Diceros bicornis minor: one gene and its partners. The protein of the gene in region 2 purifies or fractionates together with the protein of the main gene of each other region. This does not show direct contact. Links are inferred from orthologs where the notes say so. Each region holds a gene or a part of one and is shown on either strand. Other genes may lie near its edges.

What was found. Proteins that work in one complex are often made in the same cells at the same time.
Region 1: the proteins of HDAC3 (region 2) and ATXN3 purify together in Homo sapiens (affinity purification with western blotting; 3 studies listed by BioGRID). This does not show direct contact. The link is inferred for Diceros bicornis minor from reciprocal best matches to the Homo sapiens genes HDAC3 and ATXN3.
Region 3: the proteins of HDAC3 (region 2) and RUNX1 purify together in Homo sapiens (affinity purification with western blotting; 3 studies listed by BioGRID). This does not show direct contact. The link is inferred for Diceros bicornis minor from reciprocal best matches to the Homo sapiens genes HDAC3 and RUNX1.
Region 4: the proteins of HDAC3 (region 2) and SKI purify together in Homo sapiens (affinity purification with western blotting; 4 studies listed by BioGRID and IntAct, with this or other methods). This does not show direct contact. The link is inferred for Diceros bicornis minor from reciprocal best matches to the Homo sapiens genes HDAC3 and SKI.

What each region holds. Positions count from the first base shown.
Region 1 is NC_080763.1:37,928,322-37,935,850, forward strand, and holds the start of ATXN3 (ataxin-3), read right to left. Parts: upstream 3,470-7,529; 5' UTR 3,441-3,469; coding exon 3,417-3,440; intron 1-3,416. UniProt on the Homo sapiens protein: Deubiquitinating enzyme involved in protein homeostasis maintenance, transcription, cytoskeleton regulation, myogenesis and degradation of misfolded chaperone substrates.
Region 2 is NC_080740.1:59,790,219-59,798,631, forward strand, and holds the start of HDAC3 (histone deacetylase 3), read right to left. Parts: upstream 3,185-8,413; 5' UTR 3,133-3,184; coding exon 3,078-3,132; intron 2,984-3,077; coding exon 2,901-2,983; intron 1,588-2,900; coding exon 1,445-1,587; intron 1-1,444. Other genes in the region: RELL2 (RELT-like protein 2), read left to right, coding at 4,602-4,785, 5,182-5,247, 5,342-5,408, 5,860-6,045, 6,323-6,698, 6,824-6,856; FCHSD1 (F-BAR and double SH3 domains protein 1), read right to left, coding at 7,945-8,010, 8,148-8,203. UniProt on the Homo sapiens protein: Histone deacetylase that catalyzes the deacetylation of lysine residues on the N-terminal part of the core histones (H2A, H2B, H3 and H4), and some other non-histone substrates.
Region 3 is NC_080766.1:35,214,920-35,222,321, forward strand, and holds the start of RUNX1 (runt-related transcription factor 1), read right to left. Parts: upstream 3,470-7,402; 5' UTR 1,857-3,469; coding exon 1,587-1,856; intron 1-1,586.
Region 4 is NC_080752.1:22,965,398-22,973,360, reverse strand, and holds the start of SKI (ski oncogene), read right to left. Parts: upstream 3,470-7,963; 5' UTR 3,393-3,469; coding exon 2,424-3,392; intron 1-2,423. UniProt on the Homo sapiens protein: May play a role in terminal differentiation of skeletal muscle cells but not in the determination of cells to the myogenic lineage. Functions as a repressor of TGF-beta signaling.

The DNA of each region.
Region 1 (7,529 bases), on a different chromosome or scaffold from region 2:
GCTTTAAAACGTGAAAAATAAGCACTTGAAATCAAACCTTGTTTAAGTAAAACTGCATTGCTATAGGAAATAATATCAAGTTCTGTACTTCTAACATAATTTAATGGAAGGAAAGAACAAACTGTTCAATCCAAAATTTAAAATCACTTTTTAAAGTCACAAGATGAATCAAATTCTACATGGACCAAAAAAACTGTACAATGGCTCTGCCTCAGATTATACATTTTCCTACCTCACCCCCAAACTAGCCCCAGCACCTCTCTCTCATCAAGTTTTAACTTAAGCTGAATAGAAGTTCACTTTGCTATACTCAAAGTTCATGATTCATGTTCAGATTCATGATTCAAGTTCAAATTCCATGATCTCAGGCCCAGACTTCATTGTCTTGGGATCAAAGGGTGAACAAAATGCATCTCCAGTTTTACCGGTATTTTACAAAACCACAAAAGGGAACTGCAACCAAATCATTCCCTTCCGTCCCCAAAGTCTTCAGGACTCACCCAAAACTTGTTCAAATTCCCAGAGACACTATGACTACAACAGAAACCAGGCACAAACCCAAGGGTGCGCTCAAAAACAGGCTAACCTGGGCCATGCAATCAAGTTAACAGCACTTCTTCAACTCATCTGAGTGATAATACAGTCCCACCCCTCATTATGAGGTTCAGCCAACACAAGCATCTGAATAACAATGGCCAGCACTTCTAGAGCACTATGTGCCAGGTGGCATCCTAAGTACTCATAACTCTGAGACAGACACTTCACTATCCTCAAACCACAGAGGAGGAAACTGGGGCACAGAGATAATAAGGAATTTGCCCAGGATCATACAGGTGGTAAATGGTACAGCTGGGACTCAAACCCGGGCAAAGGCTTCAAGTGGCTATTAGCACTTCCTCAAGCCACTTAGGTGGAATTTGGTTATTCCTAAACCTCAAATATCCTAAAGATGGCTAAGGACCCTCAATCACAGCGGGACATAATGAATGTCATCAAGTCAATGCTCAGCATATTTATAATATTTTCACTAATTTTAAATATAATCTCAACAAGTTTGGTTATCATTCTCAGTTCACACGACATAAAAGTTCTAATTTGGATGGCACAGTGACCGTACCAAGAGCAGTCAGCAATAGAACTGATAACAAAAATGACAGAAAGCAGGCACCACAACTAATCCAACTACCCCCCAAAAAACAGCAATTGGTGGCCATATAGCATTAGGATTTAAGTTAAGGGTTGGCAAACTCTAACCCATGGGCCAAATTCAACCTGCCCCAGTGGGTAAGAATAGTTTTTACATTTTTAGATGATTGAGGGGGAAAAAAACACAAACAAGAATATGTGAGACCATAGATGACCTGCAAAGCCTAAAATATTTACAGAAAAATTGTTTACTTTAAATAAACAGCACCATATACATGGATGCTCAAGGAACTCTTGATTCATTCATTCAAATATTTATTGAGCACCTATGATGTGCCAGGCACTGGGGATGTATCGGTGAACAGCTGTTAACTTAATAAAGGGCACTCAAAGTGGCAACTCTGAAAAATGGGGAAAGCAACATTCAAAGAGGAAGTGGTTGCAAGACCCTTTGAAGGCAGGTATCTCTACATACAGAGCTTCCTTAGGGCCAAGGGTTCGCTGGCTCTCCAAACCCAGGACCTAGCAAGGGTTAAATGTACGTGGCAGAGTGGAAGGGAATGCGCTGGGAAATGGCATATTAAGCCCCAACATTCCCAGAATGGACTGTGTAGGAGATTAACAATGGGCCCTATGGTTACAGGTGCTTTCCATACTCTTCAAATATGCCTGCAGAACTTTAAGATCCTTCATTTGCTGAATACATATAAATTGATAGTAAGGATAAATGTATTCCTGAAGTACCGTTAAGCCTACACACATGCTGATAATTGAGAGTGACTTTCAGCTAAGTAGATTTTGATTAGACTAGCGCACAGCTTCTTTTGATCCCATGGTTTAGTAGTTACCTTCACTGAAATCTATCCAAACTAGTTAACAGTAATACTGTTAAAATACATTGTATCATTTTCAAGAAGTGGTGTGCAAAATGTTCAGTCTTCCACGTTGAAACATCTGGTCCTACACCAAAGCTTTTGAAAGTCAGTAATAAAAATATGTACACGCCAGGTTCTCTTCATCCAATCTCCTTAGCCAAGCAACTACATTTCTCTTGTCCAAGATTCATAAATTATGTCAATCAAGTGAAAAGATTAGATAACTAGACTACTGAATCTTTCCTCCCCCACACGTAAAAATCAGTCTATTTCAGTGCCCAAACTTTCTGAAACGTTTTGGTAAAGAAAAGCATTCCATTTAACAATTTGTTTACATTTATATGATGCCTCTTTTGTCTCTTTGATTGTCGTGGGTTGTGAATTTTTAAAAGAATACATGATCATTTACAAGTATTTAACAAAACCCCTCTGCTCCTACTAAATAATAGCCTCACCACAACCCTTTCCAAACGTGAAACTATTATGAAACAGACATCATGTGTCAAAGTTGTCCTGAGGAAGGTTTCACTCACACCCAAGTGGCTTGCTAATTGTATATAACAAAGACGAGTTTCTCCACATACCACAAACAGTATCTTCAAGTGCGTGGTCATTGAAGAATCAAAGCAAAACAGGCCGGGCAGACCACAACAAAATTATTCCAGTCCACCCCAGTACCTAATAAGAGAGCTAGCCTCCTGATCCGTAAAGACGGTACTGCCAAAGAAATGAAACCCAAACATCCCGTAACAAAAACTCTTGTGCCGACTTCCCTGTTTAGGGGCGCACGGGGTTCCCTACTTCACTTCCCTAAGTGTCAGGCCTTCTATGGGAGGAGCCAAGGTCTCTGCCCTCCAGAAGCTCATAGATCTAGTGCAGGAGAAGGACATGAAGACAACGCCAGAGATCTAAGTGTACGGGAGATTCCAATATAGAATTGAGGAGCCCAGACAAGGGGAAGTTAATTCTGCCAAGGGATAGGAGTGGGGAGTGGGGAGTGGGGTGGAGTTGGGAAGGGTCGAGGGAGGTGTCCCAGAGGTGAGTAGCTAGAACCTAGGGCGAGTGGGGGACAAGGGACTGGAGAAGGAATCCCACGGAAAGTGCAGAGGAAGCGCAGATGCTAGCCCACTCGGTGCCACCCCCTCGGACGAGCCCTCGGCCCTGCCCTCACTCCCTGCCCGCTCCCCGGACATCCCGGGCCCCGGCTCCTGGAGCATCTCGGGCCCCGGCCTCACGAGCGGAGGGTGCAGTGGGGGCATCGGTGAAGCTCCTCTCGCCCGGCGAGATCGGGATGCGGGCGACTCGGGCCCCACCCAGCTCTCCGGGAGGCGGCGATACCGCGCCCCTCGCCGCCACCTCGCCGCACACAGCTCCCCACCCAACGCGGACACTCACTTTCTCGTGGAAGATGGACTCCATGTTTATTTGTCTGGAGCCAACGGCCCCCGCGCCGGACCACCCCCTCCAGCTCCGCCCCCCGGCCCCACCCCTCCGCCCCCGCTCCGCCCCGCCTCCGGCCGCCCTGCCCACGTGCCCCGCGCAGACCAATCACCCCCGAGGATGCGAGTCACGTGGAGCGAAGAGCCAGTGAAGGCTGGGGCTATAAACGCCGGGCACGTGATCTTTGTAGCTCGTCCTCCCTTCTTCTGAGATGCAGCGGCTGGGGGATGCTGTAGTGCCGCCTGCCGTCTGGAGGCTCGCTTCCCACTTATGGCTATGGATTCTCAGGCTTCTGGGGGTCTGGATAAGGACGACTGGGGTTCTATGTTCTTTTTGTTTTCTACTTTATACTTTCTGTTTATGATGTTTGCATATAATTATTTAATATCTTCCTCTTCCTCCCCCACTGAAAGTCTCATGGCATCCCCCAATACCAAGCACTTGTGTAAAAATGGTATTAATATTTATATAGGGCTTACTGTAGGGTAGGCACTCTTGTAAGTGCTTTGCATATATTAATGAATTTAATACAGCAATCTTTGATGTAGGCATTATTATCCCTATTTTACACAAGAGGAAACTGAGGCACAGAGAAGTTAAGAACAGCACTATGTCCAAGGTCAAATAAGTCCAGATATCTTGTTACTAGTGTAAGTGTTCTGTCTCTGAAGAGGAAGCATCAGTTGAGGGTGGTGAAAAGTCCAGTCAAGTGCTTGGGGGGAAGCTGAAGGAGTAGGATAGGAGCAGATCTTGCATTTTGAAACCAGGTTAAGGAAGGTGTGCTTTTTTGTGTGTGTGTGAGGAAGACCAGCCCTGAGCTAACAGCCCATGTCAGTCCCCTTCTTTTTTTGCTGAGGAAGACTGGCCCTGGGCTAACATCCAAGCCTATCTTCCTCCACTTTATATGGGACACTGCCACAGCATGGCTTAATAAGCAGTGCATTGGTGTGTGCCTGGGATCCGAACCCGTGAATCCCAGGCTGCAGCAGTGGAGCGTGTGCACTTAACCACTTGTGCCCCTGGGTTGGCCCTGTGCCTTTCTTTTTTTTTTTTTTTTTTGCTGAGGAAGATTGGCCCCGAGCTAGCATCTGTGCCCATCCTCCTGTATTTTGTATGTGAGACACCACCACAGCATGGCTTGATGAGTGGTGTGTAGGTGTGCACCCAGGATCCAAACCTCCAAACCCCGGCTGCTGAAGCAGAGTGTGAAAACTTAACCACTATGCCACCGGGCTAGCCCCCAAGGAAGGTGTGCATTTTAAAGGCAGTGGGGGGCTATATAAAGTTTGTAAAAGGAAAGAGACATGCTCAGATTTGCATTTTTAAAAGATCACTCTGGCCACAGAAGAAAGCCATTGCTGTCAAAGGAATCTTGGGAGAGATGATGGTGTTTGGACTAGGGTAGTGACTTGGAGATGGAGAGAGAAGACCATTTTGAGAGATAATTAGGAAGTAGGGAGACTCAACAGAACCTGGTGAGAGAGTGGGGGGTGAGGGAGGCAGAAGTGTTAGTTTCTGCCCTAGGCAGCCTCTATGGCAAAAGCATAGGAGGAGCAAGGTTTGGGGAAAAGAAGACGACAAAGAGTTTACATGTTGGAGATGTGGAATTTGAAATATCCATGAGACATTCATGTAATTATGTTGAGTAGTGGTTGGAGATACATATATGTTGAGTAATAGTCTAGAGTTCAGGAGGGTGGTTTGGCTATAGAATGGGGAATTGTTGGCATAAAAATGGTAACTGAAACCACAGGAGTGGATAAAGTCATCTTGGGGGAAAAAGAAGAGATTGAGTAGAGCATCTGGAGCAGATCCCTGAGGGTAGAGAAGGAATAGCCAAGGAGAGAGGAGGAAAGCCGGAGAGTGTAGTATTATGGAAGTCCTGAGAAGGGAATGTTTCAAGGAGCAGTCAGTGTCAGTTGCTGCCAAGAGGTCCAGCAACAAAAGGACTTACAGGAGTCCACTAAATTGTGTTGCTATGGAAACCATTGGTGACTTTGGTGAGTGCAGTTCAGAGGAACAGAAGGGGCAGAAGGAGTAAGGAAATGGAGACTGCTATTGAGGACCAGGTGCACAAGGGGAGGATTTGGTTACTGGTTACCGTATATTGAACATCTCTGCGTGCACAGTCCACAGTCCTGTATTGGGGAAATAGTCCGTGTTCTTAAGGAATTGTGGCCTAACTAGGGAAATAAATCATGGTTCATGAAGTGAAAAAATATGCAAATGAGGTTTTTTGATTTTTTGAAAAAGAAATTATGTGTCCATCAGAGAAACATGTATTTATTTTTTTGTGTATACACATTATAAATCTCTGGAAGAATATACAGGAAACCCAGAGGTTAAATGTTTGAGATGAGAAGGGAACTAGGCAAATAGGAGACAGGGTGGGAGGGAGACTTTTCACTGTACACATTTTTATTTTTTATTTTTTAACTATATTAATGTATTACTTATTCAGAAAAAAATACATGATTGTATTTTATTTCCTAGGGCTGCCGTACCCAATTACCATGAATTTGGTGCCTGAAAACAACAGAAATTTATTCTCTCACCATTCTTGAGGTGAGAAGTCTGAAACCAACACGTCAGCAGGACCACGCTCCCTTCGAAGTTTCTAGGGGAGAATCCTTCCTTGCTTCTTCCCGCTTCTGGTGGCCCCTGGTGTTCCTTAGCTTGTGACAGCATTACTCCAATCTCTGTCTCTGTCTTTACATGGCATTCTTCCTTTTGTGTCTCTCTGTGTCCTCTCCTTTTATAAGACACCAGTCATTAGATTTAGGTCCCACCCTAATCCAGGGTGATTTCATTTTGAGATACTTAGCTAATTACATTGGCAAAGACCTGATTTCCAAATAAGGTCTTTGGCTCTGGATGGACTTGAATTTTGGAAGGACATGATTCAACTGTCTACAGTGACTAATTGCTTAGTAGGATGTAAACTATGCCAAAGGACCTTATTGTTTTGTTCACTGTTAAATTCTTAGTACCTAGAATAGTGCCTGGCAATATTTAGTAATATTGAATTTGTACTAATCATTTCATTAGGCCTTCCTGTTGAGCATGTGATTAATAACAAGCATCATAAAGTGAAACGATCAATGCTCTAAGTCCTGGTTTTGGCTTTGCCTCTGAAGCCATGTATGATTTGGGTCTTAGATTATTGCATTCCCTATTCCGATACCTCCACTTGAATTCAGCACATTCTCAACTTTACCTTTGTAAGATAACCTGTATCGTCCTTCAAAACTCAATAGCCATACGTTCTGGGAAGAGTTCCCTGAACTCCAACTAAGTTAGAAGTCCTTGTCTCTCCTCTGAGCTCCTGTATGTGCCTCTATCATACATGGTATCTTTTACAAAGTATCATAATAGTTGGTTTAATCATATATCTTCACCAATACCCCATAAATATCTTGGTGGCAGGGGCCATGTATTATTTGACTTCATATTTCTAGTAGTTGATGTCTTTCAAATGAATTAATGAAGCCAGGTGTCTGGGAATCATTCTTGATTCTTTCCCTCGCATTCTTCTGCCTCACCGCTTGTTCCAGTCAGTCCTCAGAGGCTGTGTATTCACTCTTCTCTCTCCCCTCTTTCTTCATTGCTGCTGCTTCGTTCAAGCTCTCTTGGTCTCTTGTGTAGGCCAGCCCAAGGATCTCTGAACTGGTCTTCTGATTCCAGTCTCAATATGTTTGATTCATAGTGCTGAGAGTGATCTTTCAAATGTGCAAGTCTTGCCCCTTTGTCTTTCAATTAGCAAATGGAGTGTTACTATGTACCAGATACTGAGACTATAACCGTGAAAGAGACACAGTCCCATCTTCATGGAGCTTATGTTGGGAGGGGTCTTTACACAAATCGTATTCTATCTAAAATCCTTCGGCGGCTTCCCATTGCTGTCTTAAAAAGCTCTTCGTGATCTGCACCAACCACCTGTCTGGCTTTTATCTCCCCAAATTTTCTCTGCTCCAGTTGCACCAGACTCAGGTCACACCAGCTGCTTCCCTTGACTTCCAGAAAGTTCTCTGAGGAAAAGTCCTTTGTGCCACCACTATACCTTGCACA
Region 2 (8,413 bases):
AACATCAGGAAAAGGAATATTATATCTCAGGGTTAGTGTGAGAATTTAGTGGATGTACCAGCAATCCCCAGCATAGCAGTGTAAGCATTCGATAAATGGTAGCTGTTGTAGGAAACTGCAGGATCTACAGCCTGGTTTCTTCAAGAAATAAATTCAAGGAAGAAAAGGAAACATTACAGATTAAAAGTCTTAAGAGACGGAATACATACAACCAAATGCAATGTGTGGACCTTGTTTAGATCCTAATTTAAATAATTCCACTGCAAAAAAGAAAAATTATAAGACAATTGAAGAAATCTGAATATTGATTGCAAATTCAATGATATTAAGGAATTACTGGTAATTTCTGAGATGTCATAATGATATTGTGTGGTTTTTTTTTAAAGAGTATCATTTGGAGATACACAACAAAGGATTTACAGATAAAAGGATATGACATCTGGGATTTGCTTTAAAATAATCTAACTAACATAAGAGGATACAGATGAAGTAAGATTGCCCATTTGCTCATAAGTGTAGCAGCTGGGTGATGGATATGTGGGGGTTCACTGTACTAGTCTACTCTCAGAAATGTTTGAAATTTTCCCTAATAAAAAGTTTAAAAACAAACTGAGTAAAGGTAGCTGTTATGGTCACTGTATTTTCATGGATGTATACTAGAATGTAAGCAAGGATCATGGCTTATCGTCACTGTCCACTCCCTTCTCCACAGGGCCTAACTCTGAGTCTTCTTGCTATGATACAAGCTCAATGTAAACCTGATCATGTCAGATCACCCTCTTGCTTTTTAAAATACTTCGATGACTTCCCTCTATTCTAGGGGTAAAAACCCCAATTCATAATAGGGCTGTTTACTTTTTAAAGGCCCTGCCTACCTCTAACCTCAATTCAGATCACTCTTCTCTTCAGATTCTGTGGTCTGCCTTTTTTCTGTTCCTCAAATGAGTTACACGTTATCCTAGCACAGATCCTTAGCACATGTTCTCCCTACTGCCCACAACATTCCTGTCCCTACTCTCTATCCTCCCAACCACCTTTCACCTAATTACCTCCTCCTACTCTTTCTTCAGATCTCAGCTCAATCTTCATTATTTCCTCTAGGAAGCCTCCACTGACTAGCCCACTCCCAAGCTGGATAATTCTTCCACATATACACTCCCATGGTCTGTCATGTGCCTCTTCTTCATAGGACTTACCACAACTATAATATTAAAATATTGCTGTTGTTGTTTATCACTGCATCCCCAGCACTTAACACAGGACCTGGCCTACAGCAAATGACCAGTAAATATTTGTTGAATAAACAAATGGGTAAATGATGATTCACTGACAAGTAGGCCTCTTCATGTCTTCCCACTGCTACCACAAGACCTCACTCAAGTATTCTCCTTGAAATGCCTGGCATCAAAGTGCCTGGCATCAAAAGTCCCAGTCCTCCCCTCACCAGTCATCGCCCACGTTGAAGGCATTAAGGCTCTTGGTGAAGCCTTGCATATTGGTGGGGCTGACTCTCTGCAGGAAGTCGATGTAGTCCTCAGAGTGGAAGCGGCACATGTCATGCTGGGACGCCTGGTATGGCTTGAAGACCTCAGGATGGAAACACAAGATGAACCCAGGCAGGGTCAGTCCCACTAATGGGACTGAGACCACCCACACTGAACCCAGCCCTGGGGACTGTCCAAAACTACATACAGCAATCCCTTGACCCCTCAAGCCGTGTTATTCTAGGAGGCAAAGGTCAGTGAAGAAGAGAAGCTCCAATTAGCCAGGTGGGTTATTATGGTCAAGCCCCCTAAAGACCATGGGGGTTGGCTTCTCCTTCTCACCTCCAGTCCAGCCTTTCCTACTTTCTCAACCTTGAGCCCTGATCCACCTGCCCTGTTCCCCGGATCTCCTATTCCTGCTTCTTTCCATAGTCCTCTCCACCCCTGGACTCTGATTCTGTCCTCTCTCTCCTCTGAGTTCTTAATTTCAGAGTCAAATAATATGGGATATATGACAACCTTCTAACTAAAACCCAAAGTGCCAAGGTGCTTAGCCAGAGATTTATCATCTTTTGAGGCGTTTACACACTTCTTTAGAAATTGGACAGAACAAAAAGCTTTTCTCTCCCCAAAAAATGCACACAGGTACATACAGCGGCAGACTAAATTTCAAGGGATTCATAGATTCATGCACTAACATCACCTCAGTCTTTTCTACGACCAGTTCACTTCTCTGTGCCTCGGCACAAGCAGTGGACACTCATACTGTTGACTAATTCCCCTTGTAATGCATAAGGGCTGAGCTTAACTGTTATAATTGCATATCACAGCAATAAATTCTAAGGTGGGGACAGACAGCATGTGAGGGTTGGGTAGTGATTACCCATGTAGGGGTATTCTAGGTTGGAAAGGGAATACTCAGGACATCTCCTGCTCTCCTCCACACACACATACACACTCACACACAGGGCAGCAGAGTCCTCCCTGGAGCTCTAGCTCCTTGGAGGCGGAGAGAGGTGGCAAAGAAGGGGTGGGAACTGAGAGTAACCTCACACCCAGATTCGGTGATCCAGCCCCTCTCCCTTTCCTGAGGCCACAGCACTGCCCACATCCTGAAATGCGAGGGAGGAAAACACCTTCTGTCTTCAAACCAGCCCCACTCCACCCTAACCTAGGTCAAAGGTTGGTCCACCTGAGGTCAAAGGGTGGCTAACCTAAGGTGAAAAAGTAACTCCTATTAAGTCAGGGGATGCACCCACCAACACTTCGCATATGGGGGATGCTCCTGGTTCCTTCTATCCAGCCTCCCCCCACTTCAGGGGTGGGTCGTACTTGGTGCATTCAGTGCAGCCTACCTACCCCTAGGGCCACAGCTCGCCCCCACCCTCAAATCCCAGCAGAGACGACGGGACTCACGATCATCTTCTTATAGAGACCGTAGTGCAGGACCAGACTATGGGTCAATGCCAAGCGATGGGGCTTCATAGGGTGCCCTGCCCCTGGGGGTGGGAGAAGAGAGTTCGTCAGCTCCCATCCCTAGAGTTGTAGACCTCCGCGTCCCGAAACCCCTCGCGCATAACCTTCTTCCCTCACCGTAGTGGAAGTTGCCCACGTCGGGGTCGTAGAAATAGGCCACGGTCTTGGCCATGGTTCCGGCGGGATCAGGCCCCGCGCCTCCGCCACCCGCCGGGCCGCCTGCCCCACCCCCCGTCGTACGTGCTGCGTAGGCACGCAGCCGGCCTCTGCGGAACCGGGAGGTCCAGGCCCCGCCTCCCTAGACCACGCCCACGCCCAGACCACGCCCCCTGCGCAGTTCTAGCAGTTGCCCTGCTTCGCCCTTCTAGGTTCTGGGGCGTGAGCGTCTGGGCTTGGGCGGAGGACGGAGAGCATTGGTCCTAGGATGCGAGGGCCATTTCCTTCCAGGCGGGGGTCATATGCTCGGGAAGTTGAGCCATCCCATCCAGCCACTTGCCCCAAACGGGGCGCAGGCCGTGGTCACCTCTCTAGGAGGCTCCGGAGAACCGGCCACGCTGTCCCTCTCGGGTGCAGAAAGCCGACTTCCCCGGCCCGCTGGGAAGGTTCCCGGCTATCCACCCGGCCTGGGCATCTGAGGGCGGGATCCGCGCCAGGCGTGCCGGATAGACCAGTGGAGAGCACTCTCGCCTGACTGCCTGTCGTCCCTACCAGGACCAGGACCCAGACTTGGCGCCGCACACTCCCCCGGGAGGGGGGCCCGGCGCAGTCACGCGCGCACCACACTTGCGCTCACAAGCGCGCAAGGCTCTAGCTCTCCGCCCTGCACACCTGCGCTCCGCCCCCTGGTCCTGGGCCGGCGACGGGCGAGGGCATTTGGGAAGCAGGGCGGCTGCGGCGCCCCCCATCTCCTCCCCTTCCCAGGGCCGGAGTTGTCCAGAGCCTGCCGCCGCTCCCAACCAGCCCGCATCCTTCTCCATCCTTCCCTCCCCCCGCCTGCCGCGGCACCGGTATCTGCAGCCGCAGCCCGGAGCCAGTGAGGCGGCGAAGGGGGGAGGGGGAGGAAGCAAGGGATGAGCCCCGAGAGGGCGTCGGGGGCCCTGAGCCGGACTAGGACGCCCCTGGAACCGGAACCCGAGCCGGAGCCGGAGCCAGAACCAAACCACCGGTACCGGGTGGGCCAGGCGGTCAGGATGGGAGGAATCGAAAGGGAGGGGTGTGCGGGAGTACAGGCAGGGGAGTGGGCTGCAGAGGCCTGGCTCAGGCCGGCGCGGAGGAGGTGCGAACGCTGACTCAGGTGGGATTCTTGCGCCGGCCGCCTGAGAATTCCGTCCCATCTCACTCTGCAGTGTCCTTGGGAGGGACGGAAGCGCAGGACAAGCTGGAAAGGGAAACCCTCTGGGCGTCGGGGAAGCGGGACCAGGGTCGTGGAAGAGGGCTTGCGCAGCCGCCGTCTGGCACCCCTGGCCCGGACCAGCACCCCTGACACGGACAGCTCCTTGGTTGGGTAGGGGGTGGGGCCGGACCTGGGAGGCTCGCCTGTTTCGGATCTTGAGGACGGCATTCCTATCCCTCCCCCCATCCCTAGCTGCAGCCCCCTAACCCCAGGAGGCGCCCTGGCCCGCGCTCGCCCCCCAGGGCTTCATGTCGGAACCACAGCCTGATCTGGAGCCGCCCCAACATGGGCTGTACATGCTCTTCCTGCTTGTGCTGGTCTTCTTCCTCATGGGCCTTGTAGGCTTCATGATCTGCCACGTGCTCAAGAAGAAGGGGTACCGCTGCCGCACCTCGAGGGGTTCGGAGCCTGACGACGCCCAGCTCCAGCCCCGTGAGTGAGGAGCCTAGAACCTGGCTCAGTCACCTTTCTCCCTTACCCCTCTCCCCACACCTCTTTCTGCCTTCCTGGCCAACAGACCCAGGCCAAACCGACCAAGCCTTCAGGAGACCTAGTGATGCTTTCTTGAGTCAGCAAGTGGGGGTGACACCACCCTGAAAGCAAGGCTAGAGAAGGCAGCATTAGTGGGAAGGGCCCACTGATGGTATTCTTGGGCTCCCATTGATTTCCGTATCTTTTCTGCCCTGGCCACTGAAATGCTAACATCCAGCATGATGGCAAATAGGTAAAGGGGTATGTCTTGAGCAATAAGCCACAGAAGCCACCAGGTAATGTCCCCTCAAAGCTGACTCATTTCCTGCTTCCTTGCCAACCTCTTTCATCCTTCAGCTGAGGACGATGACATGAATGAGGACACAGTAGAGAGGATTGTTCGTTGCATCATCCAAAATGAAGGTGGGTGTAGACTGGCCCCTTGCTCCCCCCTCCTCGACTTTCTCTTGCCCTGACCTCCACCTCCACTGACTCCCTCTTTTCCTTCTCCCTTCAGCCAATGCTGAGGCCTTGAAGGAGATGCTGGGGGACAGTGAAGGAGAAGGGACAGTGCAGCTGTCCAGGTGAGCTGGAAACAAGTGCCAGCATGACTTAGCTTACCTTGGAGAGTACCCTCTCCTCCAGCACACTCCTCACCAAGTCTCCTCGCATGTCTGGGGTCAGGGGCGAGAGCAAGGCTGGCTAAGCTATAGGAAGAAAGAAGTTGTGTAGAAGTCCTGAGTTCTTAAAACCCTATGTCCCATCTGGATGTCATCAAGCCTAACATTCACCCCCTGTGCCACTCCTTTGGGTTAAGTACTGCTCTCTTTTTAGCAAAACAGCCGTGGGAAGGAGAACGCATGGTCACTAACATCTTAATATTGAGTTTATTAGATAAAGACAAGAAAAGAATGTTGGGGCCTGGGGAAAGTGGGGCATCTGGGGGTTTAAGGAGCACGCTGAAAGAATAGAAGAAAATGGATCAGGAAGGGAAATGGGAATGTCACTCCTTCTCCCTTCCTCCCTACTGTCCAGCATGGATGCTACCTCCAGCCTGCAGGACGGAGCCCCCTCCCATCATCACACAGTGCACCTGGGCTCTGCAGCCCCTTGCATCCACTGCAGCCGCAACAAGAGGCCTCCACTTGTCCGTCAGGGACGCTCCAAGGAAGGAAAGAGCCGCCCCCGGCCTGGGGAGACCACCGTGTTCTCTGTGGGCAGGTGGGGATAGAGTACCCCAGGGAAAGAGAGGTTGAGGTGGGGGCCCCAATGATCAGGCACCTGACTCCAAAGGTTGACTCCGGCTTTCTTCCTGGACTGTGAGCTACGAGCTACAGCAGGAGTCAGGCTGCACAATGTGCCCCTGAATCTGAAGAGGTCTCCCCTGCCCTAGGCCAGAAGGAAGTGGCCATCAAACCCAGAATATCCCTGGCTGGAGGAAGGGGCCAAGCAGCCTCTGAGTTGTGGTCCTAAGCCCCAGTGTTCCCTCCCCTCCCAGGTTCCGGGTGACACACATTGAGAAGCGCTACGGGCTGCATGAGCATCGTGATGGCTCCCCCACAGACAGGAGCTGGGGGTCTGGTGGGGGGCAGGACCCAGGGGGCGGTCAGGGGTCTGGGGGAGGGCATCCCAGGGCAGGGATGCCTGCCACTGAGAGCCTGCCCCCTGAGAGGCCACAGCCCCCAGCCATCACCAGCCCCCCAGTGCAGAATGGAGGACTCAGGGACAGCAGCCTAGTCCCTTGTGCACTTGAGAGAAACCCTGGAGCCTCTGTAGAGCCAATGCTGGGGGCTGGAGGGAGGGGCCCAAGCCCAGGGCTGGCCAGTCAAGAGGCAAATGGACAGCCAAGCAAACTGGACACCTCAGATCACCAGGTATGAAGACATGGCCAGGGCTATGGTGGCCTGTGGTGGGCTCAGCTCTTATTGCCCCCTATGCTGGGGGACACTAATATGACCCATGTCCTGTTCTCCCATTGTTGACCCCTCCTCTCTCTCAGGTGTCCCCACCACGGGGAGCAGGGGCTGTGTGAGGTGAGTCTGCCTGGCCCAAATCAGAAAATGTCATCCTCCCACCCCCTACTTAAACTACCTAAGTCCATTGGCTCCCTGTATACCCAGGGTAAACTGCAGGCTTAGCCTTTGCTATAAATTCCTTGGTTTGGTGGTGGGGAGTGGACATGTGCTCCAGGGGATAGGGAAGGTCCTGCAGCCCCGGGGAAAAGCTGGGACACAGCTTGAATAGGAGGCAACTCTGTTACCCTTGCTCTTCTCCAAGCCTCCTCCTTCATTGCGCTGATGGACTACCAGCTGGCAGGGCCGGGGATGGGTGGGCACGAAGCCCCTCCTCTCCACTGGACAGCACTGCCCCCCAGCTGAGGGAACAGCCCTACTTCCACCTGGAGTTGCACAGTCTCAGGCTGGGGGACCTTGGGAGAAGTTCCCCCAACCCCCGGCCCTCAGTCTGTTTCCTTCCCCCGCCTGCCAACAGGCCGCCTGACCCGCCTTCCCCATCACCTCGCTCCATATGCTACAGCGTGGCAGCTGAGAGCAGGCCCCTGCCCTTGGTAGGCCCCTAAAGCAATAGCACCTCAGTCCCCTGCTCTCTTGGCACAAGAGGCCCAGGCTCTGGCTTGGGCTTCGTGCCCTTTATTCACTGTCAATAAATCCGCTCAGACCATTACAGCTGCTTCGCATACTGGCTCCAGCTCCTTCTGACAGGCCTGCCCCTGTCCCAGCCCCCAAACCAGTGGCCCTGGCATCTGGAGTGGGGTGGGTCACAGAGCCAGGGTGGACACACAGATGGGCCAGAGCCACTCAAGACTTTGAGGGATGGGTTCCAGCCCCAGAGATTTCAGGATATTTCACCACCTTAGAGATGGATGGGGGCAGAAGAGAAAGGAGTAGTTCCAGCCTTAGAGGCAGCAGCACGATGGGGAAAAGAGAGTGGGTTCCAGCCCCAGAAATGGGAAGAGGGGAAGTTTCTACTCCTGGAGGTGAGAGTAGAAATGGGGGAGATTCCCGCCTTTGGCTGTATCACTCTGGATCATTGAGGGGGTGTTCTCTGACAGTGTGGAGATAGGGGCAGCAGCATCACTGGGGGGCAGAGATACCCCTGGCTTCAGGTGAGGGGATCTGGGTGGCCAGGATCCGGGGCTTTGGCTGGTGGGGGAGGTGGTGGACGCATCTGTAGGGAACACACAGTCAGGGCTCCACAGGTCTCTCTTGGAGATAACCCGTCCATTCCCTCAGCCCCGCAAACAAAACAGGACAAGTCGGAATGACCCCTCTCCACACAATCTCCTCCAGGGGAGGGGCCCTTACCGGCCTGAGGCGAGGTGCCATCATATCCAGGGGTCCAGGGCAGTCCAGGTCTTGGTCTAGAAACAAGAACCACAAGTCAGTCTTCAGCTTTGTTTTGTTCACTGCTGTTATCTCCAGCACTTAGGACAGTGGTACTCTCTAAATATTTGTTGAATTAACAAATAGTCACCAACCTGGCCCACAAAATCCATCAATCCATCCTCAACACTTACTGGGCACCTGCTGTATAATCAGCCCTGCTCAAGTTAACAGAGAAGGGGAGGTCT
Region 3 (7,402 bases), on a different chromosome or scaffold from region 2:
TTATCTGAAAGTGATCCCAGGGCCCAACCTTGTCAGGTCCCCCTTCACAGAGAGAGAGCTTTGGGGATCCGCTGGCTGAGTCTGTTTATGTAAAGGGATTAGAATAACAAAATTGAAATGGGCTCCCAACCCAAATCTACATACATGGAGGAAGAGAAAGGAAAGAGTCCAGGGGCTGGTCCACCCTGTCCTCATTTCCATCCCCCTCAAAAACTCTTGCTTTCAGAAAACTGAGAGGAAAAGGAGGCAATTCCAAAGACATAGCCAACTGCACATTTTGTTTGTGTTGTTTTAGAAATCATAATCTAAGTTTGGAAGGCTTTGTATAACGCTTTAAAAATAAAGAACTCTGACAGCACTTCTTAAAAAAGTGAACATTATTCATTGTTAACTAGATCAAGATTCGGTCGAGGCCTGGAACCATAAAAAGCTTATATTAAATTTATCTCCCCTTAAAGGGAACAATATTTAACCAGATTAAAAATAGAGAGGGTAGCTGATCTTTACAGCTTTTTTTTCATCTGCCTGCCTTCGCCCTTTAAATGAACAGCAATAAATGCACTGATTGTACTAAAAAGCTGCCCCATCTTAATCCCACCCAAGACCCAAGAACCGAGTCCCCATCGCCGAAATTAAATTTCTGCTGTTTGCGGCCAGGGTGGTGGGATGGTTGTTTAAAAACGCCCGGGGTTGTTTATATATCCCCGTTGAAGGCCAAGGTTTTTAAAGGCAGCTGAAAGCTAGGGCAAGATCAGGGGTGAAAAGGGAACGGATCCCTCTGGAGCTGCTCCGCCGAGGCCGCCTGGTCCACGCCGCCCCCTCCTCAAACAGAAATGCGGGCGATTAGACTCCAGGCTCGCGCAAGACAGCTTTGTCACCTTTCGCTGCCCCGGGCTTAATCTAGGTGAGCCAGTGATAACGTTCAGGAGGGTTCCAGGCAAAGAAACAGGACTCGCTACTTGCGGCTTCTGGCAGGAGCGGGCTGGAATCTCGCAAAAACTCTTCAGAAAACTTGCAAACTTAACTACGCCCGCTGTGGACTTTGAACATGCTAATTCGTATCGGGCTGTTAAGAGGGGGTGGCGGTGGGAAGCCCTGACAATTTTCCTTATCAGTTTATTTGCACTGACCCGAAGGTATAAAAGTATGTCCATTTTATTTCCTGATGCCTCCATCTGAGGGAGTCAGGATGGTTTGGAAGTCAAGCCGGAGGTGGGGGAGAAGCACGGGAGCAGACAGGCTAGTCCTTGCTGGGGTTATAACTTTTCCTACTTTGTATCAAAGCTAAGGACCCCTGCCAGGGAGGTCCCCACCGGCCCACTGTGGACGTCTTCGGGGGCATCCTGATTTCTTCAGCCCTCCGGGAGTCAGCCTTGGCGGGCTGAGGCGGGTCCCCGGGAGGGTCGCCACGGCAACGCAGCATCCCCCGTCTCCCGAGCGCAGGGGGATGGACCAGGGGCCGCCGAGGGCAGCGCCGGCCCCTTCCTAGAAGCCGGCCCCGCCCGCCAGGCCGCTGCCCTCCCGGATCGCCCCCGGCCTCGGCCGGCCTCCGCCCGTCCTCCCGCCACCCGCTCCGGGCCGAGTACCTTGAAAGCGATGGGCAGGGTCTTGTTGCAGCGCCAGTGCGTGGGCAGCACGGAGCAGAGAAAGTTGGGGCTGTCGGTGCGCACCAGCTCGCCCGGGTGGTCGGCCAGCACCTCCACCATGGTGCGGTCGCCGCTCCTCAGCTTGCCGGCCAGGGCGGCGCTGGCGTCCGGGGCGCCCAGCGGCAGCGCCTCGCTCATCTTGCCCGGGCTCAGCGCGGTGGAAGGCGGCGTGAAGCGGCGGCTCGTGCTGGCATCTACGGGGATACGCATCACAACAAGCCGATTGAGTTAGGACCCTGCAAACAGCTCCTACCAGACGGCGACAGGGGCGCGGATCTTCAGCAAGCAGCTCCCGGGAGACCAACATACAAGTTCGGGGCCTTTATTGCTGCGGGGGGGTTGGGGGAGGGGAAAGACTAAGTTTACTAACAGTCCAGGAGGGGGCAAGTTCTAGTTATGCCGATGAGCCTCAGACTCGGTCAGGGCTCCTAGCAACCGACCGCTTAGTGCCTTAAAAAGTAGGCGACCAGAATCCCAAGTCAAATGCCAAGGGAGACTATCTTCTTCTGAGTCTTGCTTTGAGAGTTTAAGTTCAGCTTTAGCTGTTACAAAAGTTCCCGGAGGCAAAATTCCCATACACTTCCTAAAATATTTATGCGGAGAGCAGAAGGACCAGCAAATACATTGTTTGGAAGCTCCAGTAGTTAATCGCCTGTCAGTTTTTTCCCAGGTGAGTTTTGTCTAAAGTCCCAACACAACACCAAATACACGAGTGTCTTCCATATTCAGAGCCACTTTTATCATGCAAAACAGGCTTCGGTCCTCAAAAGCAAGAGCTGAGACTTCCAAAATGTGCTACTAATGTATGTGCACATATATATATATATAAATATATACATATGCTCTACTTCATAAAATATTTACAATACAATCTGTAGAGAATTTAAACACAACAGAAATCCATTAATGTTCGCTGCAGATTTTTTTTAAGTAGCCTTGAAAAACAGCTTCAGTAGTTGGAGAAGGGCTGGGCTAGAAGTACTTGTCATGTTCTCTCCAATTCTGGCAAAATTCTCAGTTCAGAAAATTCAGCTTTTCAAAGAAAAGCTAATCTTAAAAAATAAAATAAGGTCCAAGTCGATGACACTCAGGGTACAGCTCTCCACATCTGAGAACTCGGGTTTGGGGATGTTGGTTAAGTTTGTGGCTGATCCTGTGGTTTGGTGGGAGTTGAGCAGCAGCCGAGTCACACGCACGCAGACACGCACTCTTCAGAAGCCAGCCACTGTCTACGCTGACTCCCTGAGTCAGCCCCGACTCAGGCGGTACGAGATCAGATCTTCCTCCAACGTCGCCCCAGAGCCGGCCGGTTAACTACGCGGACACGCCAATACCCACGATCACCGCGTAACCGCAGCAGGTGGAGCGGGCCTTGCAGGAGGCTCTGCAGCGCAGATCGAAACAGACAGAGCGGCTCGAGTTACACACGCAGGCACACACTCCCACGCACACTGCCACGCACACGCAACTTCACGGCTCGCCTCGCAGCACAGCGTACTTTCTCTTGCAGTTGTCAAAGGAAACAACCGGAGAAAAGTTCACAGCCAGGAAAGAAGTTAAACCATCCAGCCAAGAAACCAGTTCATTCAAAAGTAAGAAAGAAAGAAAAAAACAAATCGAAACTCCAACGCAGGTCAAGGAGAAGCAGCAAAGGTTGACTTTCTTCTGGTGTCCCCAGGGGCCCCAGGAAGAGATGCCTGCCGGCGCAGGGCCGGGCAGCGTGGTACCCTTGCTGGGTCCGGCCGCGGGGCGCCCGTCCCGCCTGCGCCCGCTGGCTCTATGAATGAGAGTGCCTGGAAATGAACGTGCTTTTACTGTAAGCCCGGCCCGAGGAATTCCATTCCCTCAGCTCGTTTGCATAGGGGCGGCCGCCGGCCAATCACAGGCCTTTCCGGTATCAGCCAGGGCGCGGCTCGCGGCCGCGGGCTCCTGGAATTGGCCCGCGCGCCCCCGCCGCCGCCGCGCGCTACTGTATGCAGCCCGGATGGAGAGTCCGCGGCCGCCGCGGTCACCCCGCGCTCCTCGCGCGCCCTCATCCACGCACACACACTCACGCGCTCCCACGCTCGCCCGAGGCCCCGCCCCGGTGCAGACCGCGGCCCTGCGGCTTTGCAGACGCGCGCGGTTGCGCGGCTGGCGGCCGCGGGGCTGCAGTGCGCAGGGGCGCCACGGGCGGCCGCGGTCCGGAGACCGAGGAGGTGGAAAGAGGAGGCCGGCCGGCTTGGGGAGGACTCGGGCTACGCGCAGCGCCCGGAGCGGCCGGGGCCTGTAGACCAGGCGGAGGGAGGCGCCCCGCGCGTCCTGGAGATGCAGTGGCCCCCACGGGGCTCCCGGGCCCGGGGCGGGAGTCCCCGAGCGGCTCCAGGCCCTGCGCGGCCGCCCACGGCCGAGCCTCTGCTTCCCCGGCGTGGGTGGGATTCGGCCGCGAGGGAGCCGGAGGGCCGAGGGCCCGGCCGGAGAGCGGCTCTGCGCGGCCCCACGGCCCGGTTGGCAGCTGCAGCGAAGTGGCGCTGATTCATTTAATGAGGCCAGACGGCTCTCACAACATGGTTTTGTGTTTTTAGTTTTCTCTCTCGGTTTGTTTTCTTTAATTGGTGTTTTTCGCCGCGTCTGGGCTGCGGCTTAATTACGCAGCGCGCCTCACTCAGGCTGTGTGCGCCGAGCGGCGAGCACAGGAGTTTCCTAATCAGACAAGGCCCCCAAGAACGTGCGGCTGGAAGGAAAGTTGAAAGCATCCGCCGGGCTCGCTCCCCGTCCTCGGAGCGTCGGCTCCTCCGCAGGCGGCGAGGAAGCCCGCCGCCGGGCCCGGGTCGCTCGAGCCCCGCACCCACCCCCGGCTCCCCGGAAACGGCCCCGGCTCCTCTCCCTGTCCCCGTGCCCGCGAGCGGCCCGGGGCGCTGAACCCACCCCGGCACTGCGCGCGGGCGGGAACTTCTCCCGGGGCCCGTCCCCGCGGCGCCGCGGGCATTTTCGCGGAGCTTAACGGGGCCCCGCCCCCGTCCCGGCGCGCAGGGCCCGTTCCCCCCCGCCGCGGGGCTCCCTCTCTGCCCACGGAGCCCAGCCTGGCCGTCCCCCGCGGGGCTCCGCATCCCCTGGGGAGGGCGCTCACCCACTCCCCCCTCGCAGGAGCCCCTCCCCACCTTCCTCAAGGAGCCCTCAATTTCACCCCCAGCGGGGGTCCCTCACTCGGTCCCCGCGGGGGCCCTCCCTCCCGCCGCCTCCTGCCCCTCTGCGGACACGCGGCTGGGGTCCTGGGGGGCTGCCGCGCCAGACTTTCTGCGGGCTCCGCCGCTGGGGCCTGACGGAAGCCAGGGCCGTGCGGTCGGCCGCAGAGGCCTTCCCGGGCGCCCAGGCCGCTTCCCTTGCCCCAGGCCCCGAGCGGCCGGGCGGGCTGCGGCGAGCTGCCGGGAGGCGGACACTGGCCGCGGGGGAGGCGCTTCGGGCCGCGGGCTCAGGGCGGACGCCAGGGGGCAGCAGCAGCCCTCGCTCGCCTCCCCGGGCGCCCGGCGGCCGCGCTGTGCGCCCGGGAACGCCCCCGACGGCGCGGGGCTCCGCCGGCCCTCCGCGCGGCCTTCGCATCGCTCTTGTAAGAACTTCAGTTTGGGGAGAAACGACAGGAAACGGCCGCTGGAGCCAGCCTTGGGCGGCCGCGTCCCGCCCCCGCTACCCCCGCGGCGGAGCTGGTGGCGCGGGAATCTCAGGCAGGGTGTTGGCTCTCCCGACCGGCCCGCGTTGGGGGTCTCTTCCCGAAACCCCTTTGCGCGGACCCCGAAGTCGGCCGCCCCAGGCCGTCCGTGCTGCAGGCACCCCGGGCGCCCTCGCCGGGCCCTCGGCGCAGGCTGCGTCCTGCCTTCCGCGCTTCTCCCCAGGTGGGCCTGTCCTTGACACTCCCGGGAACCCCCCAGCATCCAGCTGCACTTTGTTCTATTAGGTCTAGCAGATAGAAAACTCCTTTGTGTGTTTTTTTTTAAATGATTTTGAAGAAACCTCATTTAAGGTGTAAAGACCCCCCAAACGGCCGCTCTCCGCCTTGGCCGAGCAATTCCAAATATTGTGCAGTCACCAAACCTCCCCGTCTGCTGCCCCCTGCCCAGGATCAACGCTGCTCGCTTTAGAGGCGTGTTCCAAGTGCAACCCTTTGCTTCGGCTCAAATGCATTCCCTTAAGAGCCAACCAAGCGCTCCTGGGAGCCGCCTCCAAGCGCATCCCCAGGGACCCCCGGGGACGCGGGGTGGGGCTCCGGAGTGCAGCGAAGGCAAGAATGGGCTCTGACTCGGGGATATAGCGGACTGGGGCGATCTGCCGCTCAGAAAGGTCAGAGAAGGCTCCTCTGGGGCTCGAGCGGTATGAAACCCTAAACCCTGCGAGGGGCTGCGGGTCGGATTGTCCTCGGCAGTCTCTCGGGCCAGGGTCAAGTTCCCTTCCTTGGTAAGAAAAGAGTTGCAATTATAGATGCACTAAGTTTCGCCTTTCAAGAGCGGCACGGTGGGCGCTACTCAGCTAAGAGATTCAACCAATAAATCCCAAGTTCGAACGCCGGCAAGGACGATAATAGCAAAGAAAGCTACTGCTGATTTATTCTAAATCGGGCCGCCGGGCATTTGGGGTTCCCGGGATCTGCGCGAGCTGTAACCGCCCTGCTCGGTGCACACTTTAAAACCAGAAACAAAAAACACTGCGCCTTCCTTAGTGAGGAACTAAAATGAATGGAAAGCAGGCAGCATGTGGCTCAGCTAAGAGGTGCCGGGAACCCCTCAGTCTGAACGGCTTTTAACAGAGCTTATAAAGTTCAGTAACATCGTGTAGGAAATGAAGAATTCCTTTCCACCGAGAGCGCTCGTTTTAGCGGCAATGTAGAATTTCCCTTCCTCTGCCTCTCGAAGAGAGGAAGGAAAGGAAACATTGCCACATTCACTCCTGGTGTTCCCCTGGAATAATACTAAAATGTACTTTTGTTATAATACAAAATAAAAAATACAACGAAGCGGTATGTTGGGCGAATGCTATGTGACAGATTCTTCCAAATCTGCTGCACGGGGGACATTTCAAAAAGGCTCAGAATAGGAATGAAATGTAAGTTTTCACAGTGAATTTTTAAAGTAGTATTTGGTTAGTTGGAAGAAAAATAACAATTGCACTGGAAAACAATAACAGCTCATTGACGTTTTTCTTCTGCAACTTTAGGTAAATATATAATTGTAGGTGGTCTCAGAAAATATCTAAATATTTTACAGTTTTGCTGTTTTAAAATGCTCTCAAAAATAAAACATACATAAAGGTAGGATTTGAATCTCAACCATTCTCTTAAATCAGAATTTCCCTCTGTGAGTAATATATTTTAAAAATTACATTTCTAAGAACATAATGTTTCTAAAAGAATTATTTCTATTTTCAGTGACCGTTTCAATGAAAATAAAAATCAGAGGATGTATTTTGCTAGTGGTTCTGGACCAAATTGCTGCCTTTGGTACTAATGTCACAGGGGAGGAGAATGTTTCGATGAAAAGTAACAAGTTAATGTATGTACAAATAACCTGCCGGATACCACATCCAGTTTTCAACACTGGAATTTAATTAAACCTTTTTTTCCCTCTTGAGTGGCTTTGAGATTATTTCCCTGTTGAAATCTAATTACTTTGGGGTTGAGATTCTTTAGTTCTTCTGCTACACACTTCTTCCATATGAATATTTCCATGGGATGCTGTGGTTGATGTGTGACTATTTCACTCTGACTTCGTAAGTCAATTGTGCAGCTC
Region 4 (7,963 bases), on a different chromosome or scaffold from region 2:
TCCCGCCAACTCTGAGGCTGAGACCCTGCTTCTCACGTGGTGCCACTGGCACGCAGACAGGCACGCACGCGCTGCGCTGGGCGGATTTACCGGGACCATGCCCCCCAGAACGCCCAACTGCACAGTCTCAGAGCCAGGCAGCAGGCAGAGCCCCGAGAACAGGACGAGGGAACGAGGCCAACAGGAAGGGTGCCCCGGAGGTGAAGGAGCCGGGAAGAGAGCAGGTAGGAGCTCACGGAGGCGGGGGCCTGGCGAGGTCCGGGGAGCACAGGAGCAGACGCCGGACGGTGCCAAGGCCTGGAAGGAGACACGCCGGACCTTGCGCCCAGCCCACCACAGTGAGGACAAGGCTGGACTGGCACTTGGGCCTGAAGACCCTAACCAGTTACAAGCAGCATGTCTTGCACATTACTTGGGAAATTTGCTTTCTATCAGTAAATGAGATTTCTGAGCACCACTGGGGAGAGTGTTGAAGGAGGAAGGGCAGCACTGACCATCTGTTGCAATGACCAGAGCAAAAGCGTACTCTATCCTCTTCTCTGTGACTGTGGCTCAGGGAACTGTCCTGGCTTCTCCCCAGGCAGTGCCTGAGCCCTCGAGCTCAGGCCAGGCCTTCCCTGAGCCTAAAGACACGCTCACCCAGAACCGCAGGGCCTGCTGCAAGGGAGCCTGGGCCCGGGTCTGCAGCTGTGACAAACAGCCAACCCCAGGAAGACCACAAATACACACGTGACCCAGACTCGGACACAAACACAGACAGACACACCCTCATAGACAAGACCCTCTGCTGTCCGCTCTGCAGGCAAATGACCTGCCACAGCCTCACCTCCCAGCTCATCCGCCGGGACCCACCACAATCCTGCACACGGGGCTCCCTCGGGCCACATACAGGCACCCCAAACAGAAAGGCCCCAGTTCACAGGGAGCGCCCATCAGGCCACCCACAGCCAACTCCCTATCTGAAATAAAGAGCCCAGCCAGCCTGCTGGGAATCTGCCTTTGGCCTTTGCCACCTGCATCCTCCCCCACCGCATGCTGCCCACTCAGACCATCCCTCCTGCCCAACCCCAACCACACAGTCTGCAGACAGCTGCCACCTGGGCGCTGGCCTAGCCAAGGGCAGAAACACCACGAGCACACGCACACGCTCACATGTGTGGCACCCCCTCCAAGCACAGGCGACAGGCCCCTTGTTCTCCAGCCCCTCCTCCGCTCCCAGAGACTCTGACACTCCACTGGAGGGGCGCCCAGAGAAAACCGGGCGGGAGCATCTATTCACAGATTTAGAAAAAAAAGTTTGATGCAATAGCTGAATTAATTAGGCCTCCCAAGAATAGCTAAACCAATGCAGCATTCTGTGTGTGCAATTTAATAAGCCTAGATATTTAAAATGAAAATCACAAATAGCTAGGAAGAGAGAAGATACTATGAAAAGTTGGTGAAGACCCCAGTGGATGGTTTTGGCACCTAGTGACCCAGGAGCTGCCCGGCCGATCACAGATCCTCCGTCTGGCAAACAACAGAGCCTCGGTCACGGCCCTCCCAGCCGCACCCTTCAGCGTTTCAGAGAGAAGAACAGAAGGAAACACGGCGTCCAAAACAAATCGCAAGCCGTCGGCTACTCCAACACTTGACCAGGCCCCAAGCCCAGTGCCAAGTGGCCCTCACCCCCGCACAAGGGACTCTGGGATGCACTTACTGGCAGGCCCACAGCGACGCACAGAGCTGGAGTCGCAGAGTCTCGGCCCCCTGCCACCTCAGCCTGGACACCTGGCTTCGTTTTTGAGTCTGTCTCCAAGAACCTCAAGGCACAAACAGGCCCCACCTCGCCAAGTTTTGTCTGCTGGAGACCATGGGCAAGCACCCCTCTGTCTGCAAGCCCAAGAACTTCGAGACGAGCACAGCGCCCTTCACCCCCACCCGGTCTGGACACCTCCTTAGGGCCCTGAGGAAGGCCTGAGGCTCCAGCCTGGGCCCAGTCGGAATCTAACTTCCCAGGACTCAGGGCAGAAGCACCCGAGGCCTGCCGTTCCTGGTTCATCTGGGTAATGGCTGTGGGCCTCAAGAAGGCTTCTCCACCCACCAGGCCTGGCCCCAGACCCCCAGGGCCCCTCACACTGGGCAAGCCAGTTTGTCCTAGGGGTCCACCAGAAGGTCCTTCCTTCCAGGCTACATGGCCATTGATAGCAACTAACACTACCCTAGATTTCCTTAAAACAAAACAAAACAAAACCCTACAACATCAGAGGAGGCAGAAGCGCAGGTCCTAGCCTGCTGAGACACAACCCCTAGCCCAGGAAGGCCCCCCACCCTTTCCCAGGGACTGGCCCCTCCTCGTGCCACCTCCCCAGCTTCCAGACCCTGGGGCCCAGCTCACCCAGCATCCCACCATTCCTGCAGCCAAGGCTGACAGAGACACTCACCCGGGGCACCCGCCGCTTGTACTTGTTGCCGTAGTCGAACTTCTCCTTCACGTCGTCCAGGCAGCGGCCGAGGCGCGCCTGCTCCTCCTTGCCCGTGTAGTCCTGGCTCAGAAGGATGTAGGCCCGCCAGTTGGCCGAGTCGAAGCCCCAGTGGCAGGTCCGGTTCTCGAGGGCCTTGTGCGAGTGCACCACGAACTTGTGCGGTGGGTACATGAGACGGCAGTCGAGGCACTGGATGCAGGCGGCGCTCGGGCTGCTGTAGAGCTCGGGCACCAGCAGCCCTTTGCACTTGCCGAAACACTCGTGATACACGCGCACGCTGCGCTCGCTGAGCTCCAGGCCCAGCGCCAGGCTGGCGGCCAGCTCCTTCTTGCAGGGCGGCGGATAGGCGCCGCCGTACAGCAGCGCGTTGCACAGGCGCTCGGCGTCCGTCTTGGTGATGAGCCCGCACGAGGGCGCCGAGAAAGGCAGGATGCCCATGACTTTGAGGATCTCCAGCTGGTCAGCCGTGCAGCGCGAGCAGTAGATGTGCAGCTCGTCGCAGACCGAGTTGATCTGTTGAAGCGAGAAGTCGCGCAGCACCGAGTTGAGGATCTGCGGCAGGCAGAGGCGCTTCTCGCCGCCCACCACGAAGCACGAGATGGTCTCCCCCTCCAGCACGGTCTCGCAGCGCTCGGTGGAGCGGTCGGACGGCATGAAAAAGGGCCCGGGCAGCACGGGCGGCGGTGGCTGGATGGCGGGCAGGTGCAGCACGGGCGGCGGCTCCGCAGCCGCGGGCACCGGCGCTGGCACCGCGGCCGCGCCCGCCTCTTTGGCGCTCTCCTTCTTGTAGGCCTCCTGCGCCCAGCGCGCCGAAAAGGCGGCCGGGCCGCCCAACGAACTCATGGAGCTCAGGTGGAACTGCTCCAGCGTCTTCTGCAGCCCCGGGTGCGGCTGGAAGCCGCCGCGGCCGCCCGCCGCCGCCTCCATGGTGCGCTCCTGCTCCCCGGGCCGCTCCCGCTCCCGCGCGCCCGGGCCCCCGCGGCCCCCACCGCCGCCCCGCGCGCCCCGGCGGCGGCCCCGGCCCCGGCCCCGGCCGCCCCCCGCCGCCGGCTCCCGGCCGATCACGGCCGCGGCCTCGGCCTCGCCCGGGGGCGCGAAGGGGAAGGCGGGCGGGGCAAAGGGGTCCCGCCGCTGGAGCCCGCCGGTGCCCGGGCCCGGCGCCACATCCACGCGCCCCGCGCCGCGCCCGCCGCCGCCCGGGCCCCCCGCGCGCCCCCCGCGCGCCCCCCGGGCCCTAGGCGCGGGGCATGCCCCAGCGCGCGCCGCCAACGCCAACGCCAACGCTCGCGGGCCCGGGGCTCGCGGGGGGCGCGCGGGCAGGTGCCGGCGCCGCGAGGCGCGAATCGCCGCGGCGGCCGAGGCCGAGGGGCCCGGGAGGAGCGGGGGCGCGGGCGCCGGGCCCGCCGGGCCGTCCTCGCGCGGCGCGCCGCCGCCGCCCCGCTCCTCCCACCGCGCGGCGCCCGCCCGGCTCGTCCCGGCGGCGCTGGCCGGCCGCGTCGCGCCCGCCGCCGGCCGCCCCGGCCCGGCCCGCGCCCACCCCGCCGCCCGCGCCGGCTCCGCGGCCCGCCCGCGCCCTCCCGCCCGTCCGCCCGCGCGCGCGGCTTCCGGGGCGGCGGGAGCGCTGTGGCGGCGGCCCTCAGAGCGCGGCGGCGGCGCGGGGCTCGGCGCACATCCTCCCGGCGGCTCGCTCCGGCTCGGACTGAGCGCCCGGCGCTGAGCTCACGCCGCCGCCCCGCCCCGCGCCGCCGCCCCGCCCCGCGCACCGTCTGGGGCCGCGCGTCCGCCGCAGCCGAGCGCCGGCCAGGAATGCGACCGCCTCCCGGCGCGGCTCTTCCAAGAACGCGCACTCCCCCGCCCGCGCCCGGGCCGCTCGGCTGCGCTCGGGCCCGTCCGCCCGGGACTCGGCTCCGCTCGGATTCAACTCGGCCCCACTCGGCCCCACTCGGCCCCCGCCCACCTGGGACTCGGGCCCGCTCGGCTCCACCCACCGGGACTCGGCCCCGCTCGGCCCCGCCCGCCGGAAGGCCGCTCGGCGGGGGCGGGGGCGGCGGCGGCGCCCGGGGGCCCCCTTTCCGGCCGAGGCCGCTTCCTGCGCGGCTGGGAAGGCGCCCGTCCCGCCGCCGCCGGGGCCTAGAAACCCACACGCGGCCCCCGCCACAACCGCAAACCAGCTGAGGGGCGGGCGGGACGGGGCTGCGCACCCTCCATCGTACCCCTCGCGGCCCCCGCACGACGGGGACGCCACACGCACGACAGGGCCTCCGTGCAGTATAACCCAAGGTCCACATAGGACGGGGACGCCACAACACAGTGGCGGTAACTGCGAGTGAGGGTTGCAGCACCCCGGGGCCCCACACAGGAGACACCGCGTGCAACGTGTCCGGGACCCCCGCACCACGCAGGCGCGGCACAACCCCACCCCCACCCCGGCATGATTGGCACGCAACGCCAGCCACTCCGCGCCCCTGCCCTCTGGTCCCCGCCCCGCGGCTGGCGGGGCCGCTAGCCAGCAGCTTCACCCCGCTGCAGTCCCAGAGCAGCACTGCTTGCTCCACGGGGTAGGGCTTTGTGCCTGAGATGGACGGCCCTGCGTCCAGGAGCTGTGCCCTGTGCACGCCGGCCAGGTCACTGCTAGGGCCAAGCCCAAGGTGGGTCCTCAGGAACCTGGCTCCTTCGTGCCTCGGGCAGGACAGCGTGACCCTTAACCTGCAGCCTTCCCTGCCGAGAGCCACTTAGACATCTGCAGGGCGCCCAGAGCGTGGCCAGAGTGAGACCACACTGTCCGTCCTTTCACGCACTGGCTGTGTCGTGGGGGGAGAGACAAACCAGAAAGGGGCCGGTGGGAGAAGACGGGCCGAAGTTGGACAGGCTAGCCGAGTGGCCCCCCGGGGGAGGCAGCATCCAGCAGAGACCCCGAGGGTGGGGACTTGAAATCAGGGGGACAGTTCTGGCTGTGCTCAACTCGGGGGCAGAAGGACAGTCCAGCTGAGCTGGGTAGTGGCACCTTTTCCTCCACAAGACAAGGGTACCCAAGCTGCCCTGAGCCTTGGGCAACACATGGGGGATGCCTGCAGTGCTAGGCAGGGGCGAGAGGGCCATGCCTGCGGCAGCCTGGGTCACCTTCACCTTGTCACCTTCTGCTCCTACCCCCCCCCCAGGGTGGAGGCTGGAACGGGCCCCAAACCAGCACTCCTGGGGGGCAGCACCTGCCCCAGGGAGCCAACCCAGCATCCCCGCAGGCCTCGGTGGCCCCTGAGGCGTGGGCAGGTGTCAGGATGGGCAGCTAGGATGGACAGGTGACCTCACACCTGCGTGGCTCAAGACGCAGGCCGGTGCCTGGTGTGGGGAGCCTTGAGATTCAGGGTGCAGTGCCCCGTGTTTACAAATCTGATCGCTCCTCACCGTGGACGTAAACCCTCCCCCACCCTCGCCTGTGCCCTAGGGACTGTCCCTCCTTGTCATCACGATTCCCGCTGTCCCTCCCACTCTTTGTTTCGATGACCCCAGCAGTCGGCAACCCCCAGCACGAGGCCTCTCTATGTGCACAAAGAAGAAAACTAGGAAAAGGGTATTTAAAAACCAAAGAAAAGTGACTTATTTGTTTTTGAAGATTGTTTCCTTGGCCCACATTTGGACTAAAAAAGTTTATATTGCACCTGAGAAAGTCAATTTCTTCCACGTGGATTTGAATCCCAGGCAGCTCAGGCAACCTGTAATCCAAAGAAGGTGGTTGGAGCACCAGAGGGCTGGCCAGGAGGGGTTTCTAGCCGGGTGCAGAATTCTTCTGCTCTTTTGGCCAGGCAGGTGCTCCCAGGAGGACCCTGAGCCCGAGGTCCCCCGAATGGGCAGTGCCCAGCTCTGATGCTCTGCTTCCCTCTACCCGGTCTGGCTTTGCAGGGCTCTGGGAAGGGGCCAACACTTTCCCAGAGCTGCAGGGGGAGTGTGGTGGAGGATAGGTGAGGGTGAAGGGCCCTGAGCAGCAGGGAGAGCCTGGACTCATCTCTAAAGCTTCTCCACCTCGGTGGACTTTCAGGCTTCCTCCCCACAAGATGTTGGAGTTTCTGGAGCAGGTGAGCCCACCCCACCCACCAAAGGCCAAGCCCTGTCTTCTCCCTGTGCCCAGCCAGGGCTCCCACCTGCTGGCCTTCCTCCTTCCAACCCGTCCCAGCAGCTGCTCTGGCCAGTGGCCCACTCTTCCCACTGCCCCCGTGCCATGGGCCAGGCACCACACTGGCAGGTGGAGGGTCCAGGCCACAGGCACAGGGACTCACTACACCTGTCCCTTGCTCGCAGCTCACTCCCAGGCCCTTGCCACACTGATGGGTGTGGGCTTGTGGTCATGCGTGTGCACACTCACACAGCAAGCACACATGTGTGGAGCCTGTACCCCTGCAGACACAGAGCCTGGCACTGGGACCAGGGAGGGAGGAGTCCAAGCTCTGCCCCATGTGGCTCCCATCTCCTGCGGCGAGTCTGGCAAGTGATCAACAAACCCGTTAGTAAAGGAGCAAGATCATTTGGGTCCTGAGGGGCCGCGAGTCGGGGGGCTGACCTTGGAGCCAGCAGCGCTCCAGGACCAGAGAGATGAGTGTGCTGGCTGTGATCAGGTGCCCCTTGCCTCAGGGGGAGGTCGGAGGCTCAGCTGGGGAAATGGGCTGGGAGGCTCAGATCACCAGGCCCCAACAGAGAGACCCTGACAGAGCTTCCCCTGGAGGGGACCAGCTCTGCCCTCTCTGGCTCCCACCTGCTCCCTACTCCCTATTCCTTACAAACTGGAAGGAAACACTTGGTCACAGCCAGGCACAAACTGCCGTGGTCAGGAAAGTGCTAAGATACTGTTTTAAAACTTTAAATTTGAAAAAAAAATATCAAGTAACATGAGCTTGATAAAAATTTAGAAAAGACTTTGGTCTTAGTTTGGGTTCCACCAAAAGCAGAACTTGAGACAAAGATTTGAGTGCAAATAGTTTATTTGGGAGGTGATCCCAGGACACACAGGCAGGGGTTGGAGGAAGGGAGATGGGAGGGAAGGCAGGACACAGGAGTGTGTTATGCAGCCTGTCACCCTCGGGCTCCTGGAGCTGGATCCAGGGGCACAGAGCCATCCCTGGGGGCAGCCCTGAGTGAGAAGTCAGAGCCCAAGGGAGCCAAGGGAGTGAGGGGACACCACTGGAGCGTGGAGTTGATTACACAACTGGGGGACTGACCAAATAAGGAAATGCATTACGGGTAAGGAGTCCGGTTTCTCACTGCTAGAGATGGGAATTAAAACACAGAAAGGGATAAATGAACTATGTGGTATTGGATTGGAATTAGCTATATGTATGTGAACCCATGAATATCAATATTTATAAACAAATAGGAAAACCATAGATGTAAATGTGTGTTTGTGCAAACGTCCATACAATCCCTAGCTCTGTCCAGTGAGAGGCCCTGCGAGGAGTGACACCCCAACAGCAGTGAGCTCACCGAGAACCCACAGCTTGGCTTCTAAATTG